Macaca fascicularis: one gene and its partners. The protein of the gene in region 3 interacts with the protein of the main gene of each other region in a biochemical or structural test. Links are inferred from orthologs where the notes say so. Each region holds a gene or a part of one and is shown on either strand. Other genes may lie near its edges.

Region 1 (4,128 bases), on a different chromosome or scaffold from region 3:
TATAAAAATACAAAATTTATATATATATATATATATATATATATTTTTTTTTTTTTTTTTTTTTGAGACAGAGTCTTGCTCTATCGCCCAGGCTGGAGTGCAGTGGCTCGAGCTCGGCTCACTGCAAGCTCCGCCTCCTGGGTTCAGGCCATTCTCCTGCCTCAGCCTCCCGAGTTGCTGTGACTACAGGCGCCCGCCACCACGCCACCACGCCCGGCTAATTTTTTTGTATTTTTAGTAGAGACGGGGTTTCACCGTGTTAAGCAGGATGGTCTCGATCTCCTGACCTCGCGATCCGCCCGCCTCGGCCTCCCAAAGTGCTGGGATTACAGGCGTGAGCCACCACGCCCGGCCATATTTTGTATTTTTAGTAGAGACGGGGGTTTCTCTATTTTTGCTAGGCTGGTCTCGAACTCCTGACCTCGTGATCTGCCCGCTTCAGCCTCCCAAAGTGCTGGGATTGATTACAGGTGTGAGCCACTGTGCCTGGTGAAGCACTTTATTTTCTTGATTTCCAGCAGTTTGTTTTATTCTTAGAGGTGCATGGAAGGGTTCCTGCAGCAAATAGTTTACAATAATCATCCATCTGCTTAAAACTCTTCAATAGTTTTCAGTGCCCATAGTACAAAGTGGTCTAAAATTCCAAGGCCTTCCAAAATCTAGCGATTGTCGGCCTTCTAAAGCTTTCTTCCCTCTACACTCTGGGATGTACGATTAGCTCTAAGCCTCTTACAAGGATGAACTACTAGAAATTTCCAGAAGGCGTTATGCTGTTCTCGACATAAGCTGTTTCCCAGAGCCTGGAAAACTCTAGCTCTTTCTCTGCCGGATTTCCGGGGGAACTCCTACTTATCCTTCAGGACTCAAGTCACTTCCTCCGGGAACCCTTCCAGACACCCCTAAGAATAAAACGCTTTGTTCATTATCAGCCAAAGGCGCCTCAGATTTTCTATGTGCTATGCACTGTATTCTATTCACTATAAATTTGTTTACATATCTATATCTTAGTCTAGACATATTGAAAGACGCTGAAGGGCAGGGAAAGCATTCTATTCGCTTTCTTTTCTTCATCGTTCATCCAGCACAGTGCCTGGCACACGGTTTGCCCTCCGTAAATGTTTATTGCATGAACACCTCCCAGCTTCGGGCATGACCGGAATCTATCCGGTTAACTGGTGAATTCCCAGACTCTCCGCCTGCGTGGCAGGGACATTTAAACCCCCAGCACCGTGATTGGCTCCAGCTGAAGGGGTGTGTCCGTGTCCTCGGCGCACGGGATGTGCGCAGGCGCGCGGGCTCGGCGCGCGCAGGCGCGACTAGGGCGCCGCGCCAGGTCCGGTGTTGGGGTGTCCGAGCTGCGGCTGGAGAGGAGTGGCCTTACCCGCTTGGTGAGTCTCCAGGAGTGGGACGGAGGGAGCTGACCGGGATGAAGTCGGAGAGTATGTCCTGAGAAGAAAGAGTATATCGTATTGGTTGAAAAGTTGGTGGGGTCGGGCTTAAGCGGAGGAGGGGGCGCTCTGGCCCTTACTGGGCAAATGGGCCCGGAGCGAGGACGGGAGGTGCCGTGAGAACATCGAGGGGCCAGTGGAGGAAGGTGGCTGGATGGTGATTCTCTGGACCCTTCCTCGAAATTAAACAGAGATCACCTCCCGTCCCTCACCCCCACTGTGTTGCTGTGGTTGACATTAATAGACTGCATGTCTGGTGACCACGGTGACCAGATAGCTCTGAGATAATGGCTTGAGGAAGGACTCTCAGGTTCCTGGTATTGGATAGCACTTTCTCTGTAGAAAGGTTCAGCCTTACCTCGCGGCACAAATTAGAGGATCAGGAAAAGAATGAATTCCACAATTCGGGATTGTAGTGGTGGGGGGAAAAAGTACTGTAAAGTGCAGTTTCATCTCGTCCTTTTTTTCTTCTTTAATCATTAGTCACCACAATGTTAGGAAAGGCAGTTGATGGTAGGAGAAAACGTAAAGACATAAAAGTAGGGGAGAAAAAAAGTCAAGAAGGGAGTATCACTTTGCCTTTTGCTATTTGTCATCTCCTGGAATGGAGTCTGTATTAGACCGATCTCACACTGCTATAAAGAAGTACCCGAGGCCGGGCTTGGTGGCTCATGCCTGTAATCCCAGCACTTTGGGAGGCCCAGGTGGGAAGATCACTTGAGATCAGGAGTTCGAGACCAGCCTGGCCAACATGATGAACTCCCATCTCTACTAAAAATACAAAAATTAGCCAGGCATGGTGGCATATGCTTGTAATCCCAGCTACTCCGGAGGTTGAGGCAGGAGAATTCCCTGAACCTGGGAAGCAGAGTTTGCAGTCAACTGAGATCATGCCACTGTGCTCCAGCCTGGGAGGCAGAGTCAGACTCCATCTCCAAAAGAAAAAGAAAAAGAAATACCTGAGACTGGGTAATTGATAAAGGAAAGACGTTTAATTGACTCTCAGTTCTGCATGGCTGGGGAGGCCTCAAGAAACTTATAATCGTGGTGGAAGGCAAAGGAGAAGCCAAGTACCTTCTTCACAAGATGGCAGGAGAGACAGAGTGAAGGGGAAAGAGCCCCTTATAAAACCAGTATCATGAGAACAGCATGGGGGAAACCACCTCCATAATTTAATCACCTCCCACCAGATTCGAGATGAGGTTATGGGTAGCCAAACCATATCATTCTGCCCCTGGCCCCTTTCTTTCTTTCTTTCTTTCTTTTTTTTTTTTTTTTTTTGAGACAGAGTCACCCAGGCTGGAGCGCAGTGGCGCTATGTCGGCTCACTACAACCTCCAACACTTCAGCCATCCTCCTGCCTCACCCTCCTGAATAGAGACTACAGATGCATTCCACCAAACCTGCCTTTTTTTTTTTTTTTTTTTTTTTTTTTGAGATGGGGTCTTGCTCTGTTGCTCAGATTGGAGTGCAGTGGCATGATCTCCGCTCACTGCAACCTCCATCTCCCAGGGTCAAGCAGTTCTCCTGCATCAGCCTCCCAAGTAGCTGGGATTACAGGCGCCTGCCACCACACCTGGCTAATTTTTGTATTTTTAGTAGAGATGGGGTTTGGCCATGTTGGCCAGGCTGGTCTTGAACTCCCGACCTCAGGTTATCCACTGGCTTCCACCTCCCAAAGTGCTGGGATTACAGGCGTGAGCCACCGCACCTGGCTAATTTTTGTATTTTTTAGTAGAGACGGGATTTCACTATATTGGCCAGGCTGGTCTTGAACTCCTGACCTCATGATCCACCCGCCTCGTCCTCCCAAGGTTCTGGGATTACAGACGTGAGCCACCACTCCCGGCTCCCCTGGCCCTTTTCTAATCTCATGTCCTCACAGTTCAAAACACAATCATGCCTTCCCAACAGGCCTCCAAAGTCTTAACTCATTCCAGTATTAACCCAAAAGTCCAAGTCCAAAGTCTCATCTGAGACAAGGCAAGTCCCTTTTGCCTAGGAGCCTGTAAAATCAAAAGCAAGTTAGTTACTTCTAAGATGCTATGGGGGAATAGGCATTGGTAAATGCTCCCATTCCAAATGGGAGAAATTGGACAAAACAAAGGGGTTACTGGCCCTATACAAGTCCAAAATCCAGTGGGACAGTCATTCCATCTTAAAGCTTATTTTAATCTCCTTTGACTCCATGTCTCACATCCAGGGCATGCTGATGCAAAGAGTGGGCTCCCAAGGGCTTGAGCAGTTCCGACCCTGTGGCTTTGCAGGGTTCAGGCCCAGAGGCTGCTCTCCTAGGCTGGCATTCAGTGCCTGCGGCTTTTCCAGGTGTATGGTGCAAGCTGTTTGTAGACCTGCCATTCTGGAGTCTGGAGGATGGTGGCCATCTTCTCACAGCTCCACTAGGCAGTGCCCCAGTGGGGACTCTGGGGGGGCTCCAACCCCATGTTTCCTTTCTGCAACACCCTAGCAGAGGTTCTCCTTGAGGTCTCTTCCCCTGCAGCAGACTTTGGCCTGGACATCCAGGGATTTCCATACATCTTCTGAAATCTAGACAGAGGTTCCCAAACCTCAATTCTTGACTTCTGTGCACCTGCAGCCCCAGCATCACGTGCAAGCTACCAAGGTTTTGGGGCTTGCAGCCTCTGAAGCAACAGCCCAAGCTGTACCTTGGTCCCTTTTA
Region 2 (4,005 bases), on a different chromosome or scaffold from region 3:
TGCCACCGCCGAGCGATCCGCGCACCACCCCCTCCCCAGGCCCGTGCACGGCCAGGGAGGACAGTTAGGATTGTTGCTTTATAATTATCACTTTTAATCTCTAATATGATCAGCACAAGTAGCCTTTGTCTCCCCGCCCTGATTTGAGCATCCTAGGGCCCCCTGAGGCAGCCTGCACGGGTACCCGGGGTTTGCGCATTGAGTGAACCACCAGATTCGGCAGCGTCCCAGCCGTCCTTGCTCTGAAGCCCCCACCTCCTCCTGGCCGTTTGGACAGTTCCCTCGGGGCGTCCGTGCCTCTGTGGGGTACCCCTAAGACACCCAGCACGAAACCCCAGCGCCGACTGCAAATTCCACCCAAAGCAGCGTCATCCGTTTTTGCCCTCGGCAAACAACTCAACTTCAAGCCTCGAGTCCTCGCAAACCCACGCTGGCTGGGCTAACTCCGCTTCCCTTCTCCTTCCCCCGACTCCTGCAACAGCTCAGAGAGCCTGGCTCTGACGTACTTCAAAATAACGTGCGCCAGCCTCGCTCCCCGGCTGACCACAGCAACGAGAGCTGCAAGCCCTCGGCGCTGCTTCGATAACATGAAGCAATCACTCATAAAAATAGCAACCCACGTAGCCTGGCCATATATGGAACTGGCGAGGGTGGACGGGGATGCCCCTCCGGACCCTCTTTGGAGAAAACAAATCGCCGCAGAAATTTCCCCCACCCCTCCCATCACTACCTTTTACCCCCCTCTGCCTTCCCCTCTCCTTAGATGACTCAATCACCGATTCCACTGAAAGGGGGTGGGGGTGGGGGTGGGGGGAAAATATACACACACACACAAATTATACATATATTATACATGTATTATAAAATATATACACACATACATATATATACACGCACATATGTACACACACACACACACACCAAAGAACATCAAGAATGCAGTTGCGGGATGAACGCTTTTGCCCGAGACCGAGTGTTAAAATGGAGTCATAAGAGTCGCCCCTTTTGGGTGTTTATAGGAGGTGAAAACACGGAGGTTTGCAGGGCAGCGCCGGGGAGCCGAGTCAAGCGCGCCGCAGCCCGGGCCCCGCCTCCGCCCCCGCCGGAGCCCCGCCCCCACTTCCTCCCGCCCCTCGCCGGGCGGCTATTAAAAGCTGCTGACGTCAAAACGGACGGCCATCTTTGATGAGGGCAGAGCTCACGTTGCATTGAAGACGAAACCTCGGGGAGGTCAGGCGCTGTCTTTCCTTCCCTCCCTGCTCGGCGGCTCCTCCACACTTGCAACCTGCAGAGGCCCGGAGAACACAACCCTCCCGAGAAGCCCAGGTAAGGAGCCCCCTCCCCAGGTCGTGGTTCTGGCTCGGGATGGCTGCATACCCAGAAGGGACAGCAGCTGGGCATTCCGAGTGGGCTTGGGTAAATACAAGTATTGGTGCACTTAGGGTGCGGTATTCCGTGTGTGCACGTCTGGTGGGGGCTTTATAAAGTGTTTTCGAGGTGAACTGCTGGGGGAAGGGGAAACGGGAGCCCTGCAAATGGAGCGACGGGAAGGAAGAGCGAGGGTACGTACCGAATAATAACTTACTCTTTTGAAACAGTAGTGGGACCCCCTCTTTCTTCCATTTTGCGATGCAGTTTTCAGAGATATTTAGGCTGTTGGGTTCCCCCCCGTCGTTCTAACCCTATTATTTTGACTGTTGTCGTTAGGGTACTATTATCCAGGGAAGAATTAAGGAGGAGGCAGGGTGTGGGTGCTGGGGAAGCGAAAGGAGAAAGGGGGAGTTCCCGCCCCGGGCAAGCTGAGCTGCTGCAGCGACAGCAGCCTCCATGCCCCGCAGACTTGATTTATGCCGCCTGCTCCACGTCAACTGCAGGCTGGCGGGAGGCGGGCGGGTCGTGCCAGGTGGGAGGGCTCTGCGGAGGGCTGGCGCGGGTGGGCTGGCTTCGGGGACTGCGGCGGCCCGCGCTCAGCACCCTGGATAGCAATACCGAGGGCTCGCGCGGGCGCCCTCGACCTTTCAGCACCGGGGACAGCGGTCCGGCCGCAGCGCCGCATCTGCCTGCGGCAGAAATGCCTGGCCAGGGCTGGATGTGCGAGGGCTGGAGACCAAATTGTCTCTCTGAGACCCTGGTCTTACGGGGACCCTTAATAGAGGAGTCATAGTAGGTTAAAAGAAAACAAGAAAGAAATAAATCTTGCTCACAGAGACTCCTTTACAGACAATTTCCTGTTTCCCCTCCTCACCTCCTGCATAGCTTCAACAAAATAATAGTCTACTTGTGGAAATCTATGTTGCCCTCTGACCCTTATTTTAGGTAGAAAATAAATACATTTTTTAAAAAAATAGGCATTTATCCTTCAGCAGGGTATCAAGATTTTTGTTTGGTTTTGTTTTTTAACACAGAGTAGATCTGTCTACAGATCTTGGGTGAGTGTGAGTACTGTATATACAAAGAAGCCAATGCTATCTGTTTATAGGGATGATACATCTCTATGTTTCCATTTGATAGAAATGTGAGATTAGCTTAACTAAGCAGAATCAACTTTAAGAATGAATCACTGTTCCTTTTCCTTCTTCCCCCATCCTTGCAATCAGGCATGAACACAAGTATTCATCCACAAAAACACATATCTGAGAAATTTTGCTTGTCCTGTACTGAATAGATTTAATCTCTTTGGCCATGGTTTCTGAATTACTGGAAGTATTTCCTATCAGCACTGGTTATCACAGGCTGATAGCTTTAGATTTTGACAACATTAAGACTGGTCTTCCTCAGGAGAATCGAAGTGTGTCCTTCAGGGGAACGCAGGTAAAGAACCATGGTGTTAAACTAGAACTGAACTCTGACCTAAAGATCTACTGCAATTTCTCTTATGGCACTGCGGGATTTTGCTGAGGTGGTGATAACTACTTTAACCATTTTCTACTCTGAGGCTTGGAGTATCTGAGAGAGCAAAAGTCATCAGTGATATTTCTCTCTGTTTGATATAGATAAAACTGGCATAAAAATGACCAGTGTCAAAATTATGCCATTTGAGTAGTTAGCAAAAAAGAGTAACAGTGTCATTGTAATAATCTATACAACACATTAAAGAAACGCTATCATGATCCCCTTAAAAGACCCCAAATGAGACCTTGGATTGTGTTCAAATAGTCATACCTCCTATCATCCGTATGCTACAGATACTAAAATTTCCTGTCCATATACAGAAGGTGATTTCATTCCCAGCTATTTAATTATTTCCTAGTGTTTTTTTTTTTATAGATGACTATGTGTTTCCATGTCTGTATATATTGATCTGTTATTGTGCATGGATGTAAAATTATTTGGATGGACATTTATATAAGAGTATGTAAATGTATAAGAGAAGTTTATAACTTTGCAATCTGCAGACAAAAATAAACAACTGTGTTTTAGTGGTAGAGGAGAGAAAATATGGGTAGGAATTTTTTAAAATGCTTTAACTTCATGCTGCATGTCCAGACAGCTGTCTGCGTAGTTGCGTCAAATGAAAAGCCTAATGCTGCCGGAATTACGTGCTTGGACATTAGTAATTACTGCTGGGTTTGTTTGCTAGTGGAAGACTGGGGAGGAGCGGGGGAAGTAGAGGACTGCAGTGAAGATGTCAAAGGGCACAGAGCTGAGAGAAAGAAGCAATGTGCACAATTAGAAAGCTAATTTTAGAATAACTTACTGAGAAATTTCAAAAAATATATCATTGAACCATGAATTTAATATTTATATCATTGACAGCTTCTGGGGAAAAAATTGAGAAATTTCCTATTTTAAGTTTGAATTTTTAAAATCCAGGGCAATGCGGTGAGAAGAGGCAGGAGCAGATGGACATAGGATGAGCCAGGAGTCATTCACACAGACCCTCTGATGCCTGTTTGTTCATCGATATTTACTGCATTACCACCTCAGTGTTCAAATTACAGAATAATTGACAATCCTCTTAACCTCTTCATGGCAGAATCTCCCAAGAATTCACAATTTTATTTT
Region 3 (4,154 bases):
TGCTGAGACTTACTAAATGACCTTGGGGACTCCTTCTAGAGAATTTAAGTTCCACGAGTGCAGGAATTTTTATCTATTAGTCCTTGATGTATCTCCAGCCCTAGAACAGTGTTTGGCCCATAGTATGTGCCCAAAAATATCCATTAAATGAATGTTCTGTGCATGGTGGTGCATGCCTGTAATCCCAGCAGTTTGGGAGGCTGAGGCAGGAGGATTGCTTGAGCCCAGGAGTTAGAGACCAGCTTGGACAACATAGTGAGACCCCATCTTGTAAAAATTTTTAAAAATAAAAAATGAGTGAATATCTCGATAGCCAGGATTAGAGAAGTGTCACAGTCAGAAAGACTGAAGCCTAAAGAAGGCCAAGGAACCAGGGTCTTCATCCTCAGATACATGAAAGGCTAAGATTCTGTCCACAAGTATTTATAGAGGGCCCGTAATGTGCTTGGTACTGAGCTAGGAACTCCCCAGATTCAGTTAAGAACAAAGTCATTACCTGCCTCAGATGCAAGGCAGGGTCTGGGGGGTGTGAGTGGCAGGGAAGGCAGCGTGCAGAGACACTTTTCTTAGCCTGAGCTGCCCTGACATGGTCTGACAGCCCACAAGGTGGTGAGTGCAGCCGGGCTGTAGTGTTCAAGGAGGGCGCCGGCTGGCTGCCCACCTGTCAGAGGCTGCGCCAGGAGGATGCGGAAGAAGAGGTTTCTGCCTTGGCTGAGGTCACTTTCCACCCCTAGATTCCCTGCCCACACAACCCTGCAATTTTCTGACGCTGACGACTCGGATCCTATTATTTCCCGATTTTCAAGGTCCCATGATGCTGACAGCCCCAAATGCTAAGTCGTCAGTCCGCCCACGCCCCTGGACCCGAAAGCAATAAAGGCGAAGTCAGCAAGGGTCCTACCACCCACTGCCTCGAAAGGCCTCTGGGAGTGGTGGGCGCGCCCCTCCCCACCTCGCGGGGGCCGTGTGGGCGTCGTTCGGTGGTCGGAGTGCCGGGGACGTCGTGATGAAAACAGCGTCCCAGAGACGGCGCTGACCGAGCCGGGACACGTGACAGTCACAGCGTCACATTCTGCGGTCCACGAGTTTGGGACCGGGTTGCTCACGTGACGCGGTGGGGGCACCATGGGGTGATATGAGATGCGGGTGCCTCAGATTACGTACAAATGACGTATTCCTACCCCTTTTGGCAACCAGATTTCCGTTGGAAGATGCAACGGTTCCGGTGACGGTAGCCAGTTCTCGCGTCCACGCAGCTCCGCTTCCGCTCGGGGCGCAATAACTTCCGACTCCACCTTCCGCGCCTCGGGCGAGGAAGAGACGCGACCATATGCGCATGCCCCGAATTTATCACGGAGGGGCGGGGCTGAGGCTGCGGGAGCTGGAGGGGGGAAGAAAAGGGAATTCCAACCTGTGGAACCTTGGGGGGTCCCCGGGGTCGGCGCCTTCCCATTGACTGTGGGCGGTGCAAGGGACGGAGGCTCTGGTGGCTCGTGGGGGTGTTGGGGTCCACAGGGGGAGGGAGGGGAGTGTCAGAGTGTGAGTGGGGTACGGGTATTCCAAGTTTGCCGGCCTCCCGGTCTGACGCCGGGGAGGGAGAGCTCAGGCCGCCATGCGGGACAGGACCCACGAGCTGAGGCAGGTGAGACGCCAGGGCAGCGGGGATGGGGGCGCGCGGACGAACTGGAACGCAGGACTCCTGGTCTTCGGGGTAGGGAGGGGTGGCTGATGGCCAGGAAGGAAAGTCCCGGAAGCCTGTGGGTCCTGCGGGGTGACAGCCGCAGCGAAACAGTGGTGCCAATGACTCCGGGCCTGGCAGGGGGATGACAGCTCGGACGAAGAGGACAAGGAGCGAGTCGCGCTGGTGGTGCACCCGGGCACGGCACGGCTGGGGAGCCCGGACGAGGAGTTCTTCCAGAAGGTAAGGGGATGGAGTCTTGGCCTGGATTCGCGAGGGGGTAGGAGGACCCGAGGAGCAGCGTGGTCTGGAGTACCCCATATCTCTTTCAGCCCTCTCGGTCACCCTCCCCAGGTCCGGACAATTCGGCAGACTATTGTCAAGCTGGGGAATAAAGTCCAGGAGTTGGAGAAACAGCAGGTCACCATCCTGGCCACGCCCCTTCCTGAGGAGAGTGAGTGAAACCCCGGCTGCATAGCGCATGCTCCGCCCCAGGGATTGTGGGGGTTGTAGTTCCACGCAGGTGGTGGCCAGGGTGGTTTGTTGAGGTGGGGGCTGCTGTTTGGGAGTCGTGGCCTTCTCTTATTCAGGCATGAAGCAGGAGCTGCAGAACCTGCGCGACGAGATCAAACAGCTGGGGAGGGAGATCCGCCTGCAGCTGAAGGGTGAGCTACTGGGACCTCAGGCAGATCCTTCCCTCTGATCCTGCCCTGTTGTTGGTATATCTGGGGAGTGTGTGGCCCAGAGAAGCCAGTGATATATCCAGGTCACACAGCAGGCCTGGTTCTAGCATCTCTGTCTTCTGGCCTCCAGGCCATTGTACTCTCCACAGCACAAGGCAGTCTCTCAGGTTCTTTTATTTACAATGAAACCATTTACTTACACAGTTATCACTGCCCACTGGGGCATTCTTTGGGCAGGGAGATGGGGTTTTGTTAGGTGGCCTCTGCATTCGTACGGGAACTCAAGTGATGTAATGCAAAGAAAAATAAACTTACTTTCTCCTCTTGGAGGCTCAGCCTTAGTCATTTTATGATAAATTATATTTCCCTAAAAATCCTATGGAGACAAGTACCCCCAATACCCCTGTGTCTTCCCACAGCCATAGAGCCCCAGAAGGAGGAAGCTGATGAGAACTATAACTCCATCAACACAAGAATGAGAAAAACCCAGGTGGGTTTTTTTTCTCAGAAATGACATTTCAGCAAATGTTTCATGAAGTAGTAGATGACAGATGTATGAAGGAAGGGCCTGTAGAGGTCATGGAGTCCAATTGGATGATTTTTCCAAGTGGGGAACCTGAGCTCAGAGAGAGAAAGAACTTGCTCAAGGTCAGGAAACCAGGTCTCCTGATGCTCAGTCCGGTTATAACACCCTGCTTTATTTTCTTCCATTCAATAAGAAGTTACTTATTGACCCCAGACAAGACCTAGGCTTGACTGTGGGACACGTTTTCTTTTCTTTTTGCCTCAGCCTCCTGAATAGCTGGGATTACAGGCGGACACCACCATGCCGAGTTAATTTTTGTATTTTTAGTAGAGACGGGGTTTCCCCATGTTGGCCAGGCTGGTCTCGAACTCCTGACCTCAGGTGACCCTCCTGCCTTGGCCTCCCAAAGTGCTGGAATTACAGGCGTGAGCCACTGCGCCCAGCTGGGACACGTGTTTTCTAGGAGTCAACATGAGGAGTTAGGGTTCAATAGGGGATAAAGACATTACTCACGTGGGATCTGGTGGCTAATGGCGCTGCCCAGGGAAGGAGAGTGAGAAGTCACAAATTGACTGGCAGGTTTGCTATCTGTGTGACAGGGACATCCTTAGTCCCACAGGTGGAATTCAAGAAGTCAGGAAGTGGAACTTCCCTGGGGCGACACTGAAGAGGAACTCCCCTGGTGTAATATCTTTTTTTAAAAAATTATTATTATTTTTTTGAGATGGAGTCTCTCTCTGTCGCCCAGGCTGGAGTACAGTGGCACAGTCTTGGCTGACTGCAACCTCCACCTCCTTCAAGCGATAATCCTCCCTCAGCCTCACAAGTAGCTGGGATTACAGGCGTACACCACCACACCTGGCTAGTTTTTTATATTTTTGGTAGAAATGAGGTTTCACCATGTTGGCCAGGCTGGTCTTGAACTCCTGACCTCAAGTCCTCAAGTGATCCACCTGCTTTGGCCTCCCAAAGTGCTATGATTACAGGCATGAGCCACCGTGCACGGCCCCTGGGGTGATATCTTAGTAAGGAGATTTGCAGTGATCTGACTGGCCCTCTTTGTGTCCCCAGTGAGGAGGATACCAAGAGGTCAGGGTTGGAGTAGTTGAGCCCAGGGCTCAGCAAGGACCCCAGATTGAAGATGAAACAGCTTGGGCATCTTGGAAGGGTGCAGCTGGAACCAGGAGAGCAGATGTATCTCTGGAAAAGGAACTCCAAGGAATGAGCATATTTAAGGTCTCAGGAGAAGGGGCAAGGCAGAGCAGAT

What was found. The genes of interacting proteins can lie anywhere in the genome.
Region 1: the proteins of STX4 (region 3) and SNAP23 form a complex in vitro, tested with the Homo sapiens proteins (4 studies listed by BioGRID). The link is inferred for Macaca fascicularis from reciprocal best matches to the Homo sapiens genes STX4 and SNAP23.
Region 2: the proteins of STX4 (region 3) and SNAP25 form a complex in vitro, tested with the Homo sapiens proteins (3 studies listed by BioGRID). The link is inferred for Macaca fascicularis from reciprocal best matches to the Homo sapiens genes STX4 and SNAP25.

What each region holds. Positions count from the first base shown.
Region 1 is NC_088381.1:19,102,884-19,107,011, forward strand, and holds the start of SNAP23 (synaptosomal-associated protein 23), read left to right. Parts: upstream 1-1,328; 5' UTR 1,329-1,388; exon of another isoform or gene 1,389-1,439; intron 1,440-4,128. UniProt on the Homo sapiens protein: Essential component of the high affinity receptor for the general membrane fusion machinery and an important regulator of transport vesicle docking and fusion.
Region 2 is NC_088384.1:77,140,275-77,144,279, reverse strand, and holds the start of SNAP25 (synaptosomal-associated protein 25), read left to right. Parts: upstream 1-1,205; 5' UTR 1,206-1,562; intron 1,563-1,570; exon of another isoform or gene 1,571-1,852; intron 1,853-4,005.
Region 3 is NC_088394.1:29,214,241-29,218,394, forward strand, and holds the start of STX4 (syntaxin-4), read left to right. Parts: upstream 1-1,354; 5' UTR 1,355-1,612; coding exon 1,613-1,642; intron 1,643-1,819; coding exon 1,820-1,921; intron 1,922-2,010; coding exon of another isoform or gene 2,011-2,032; coding exon 2,033-2,132; intron 2,133-2,268; coding exon 2,269-2,343; intron 2,344-2,780; coding exon 2,781-2,851; intron 2,852-4,154. UniProt on the Homo sapiens protein: Plasma membrane t-SNARE that mediates docking of transport vesicles. Necessary for the translocation of SLC2A4 from intracellular vesicles to the plasma membrane.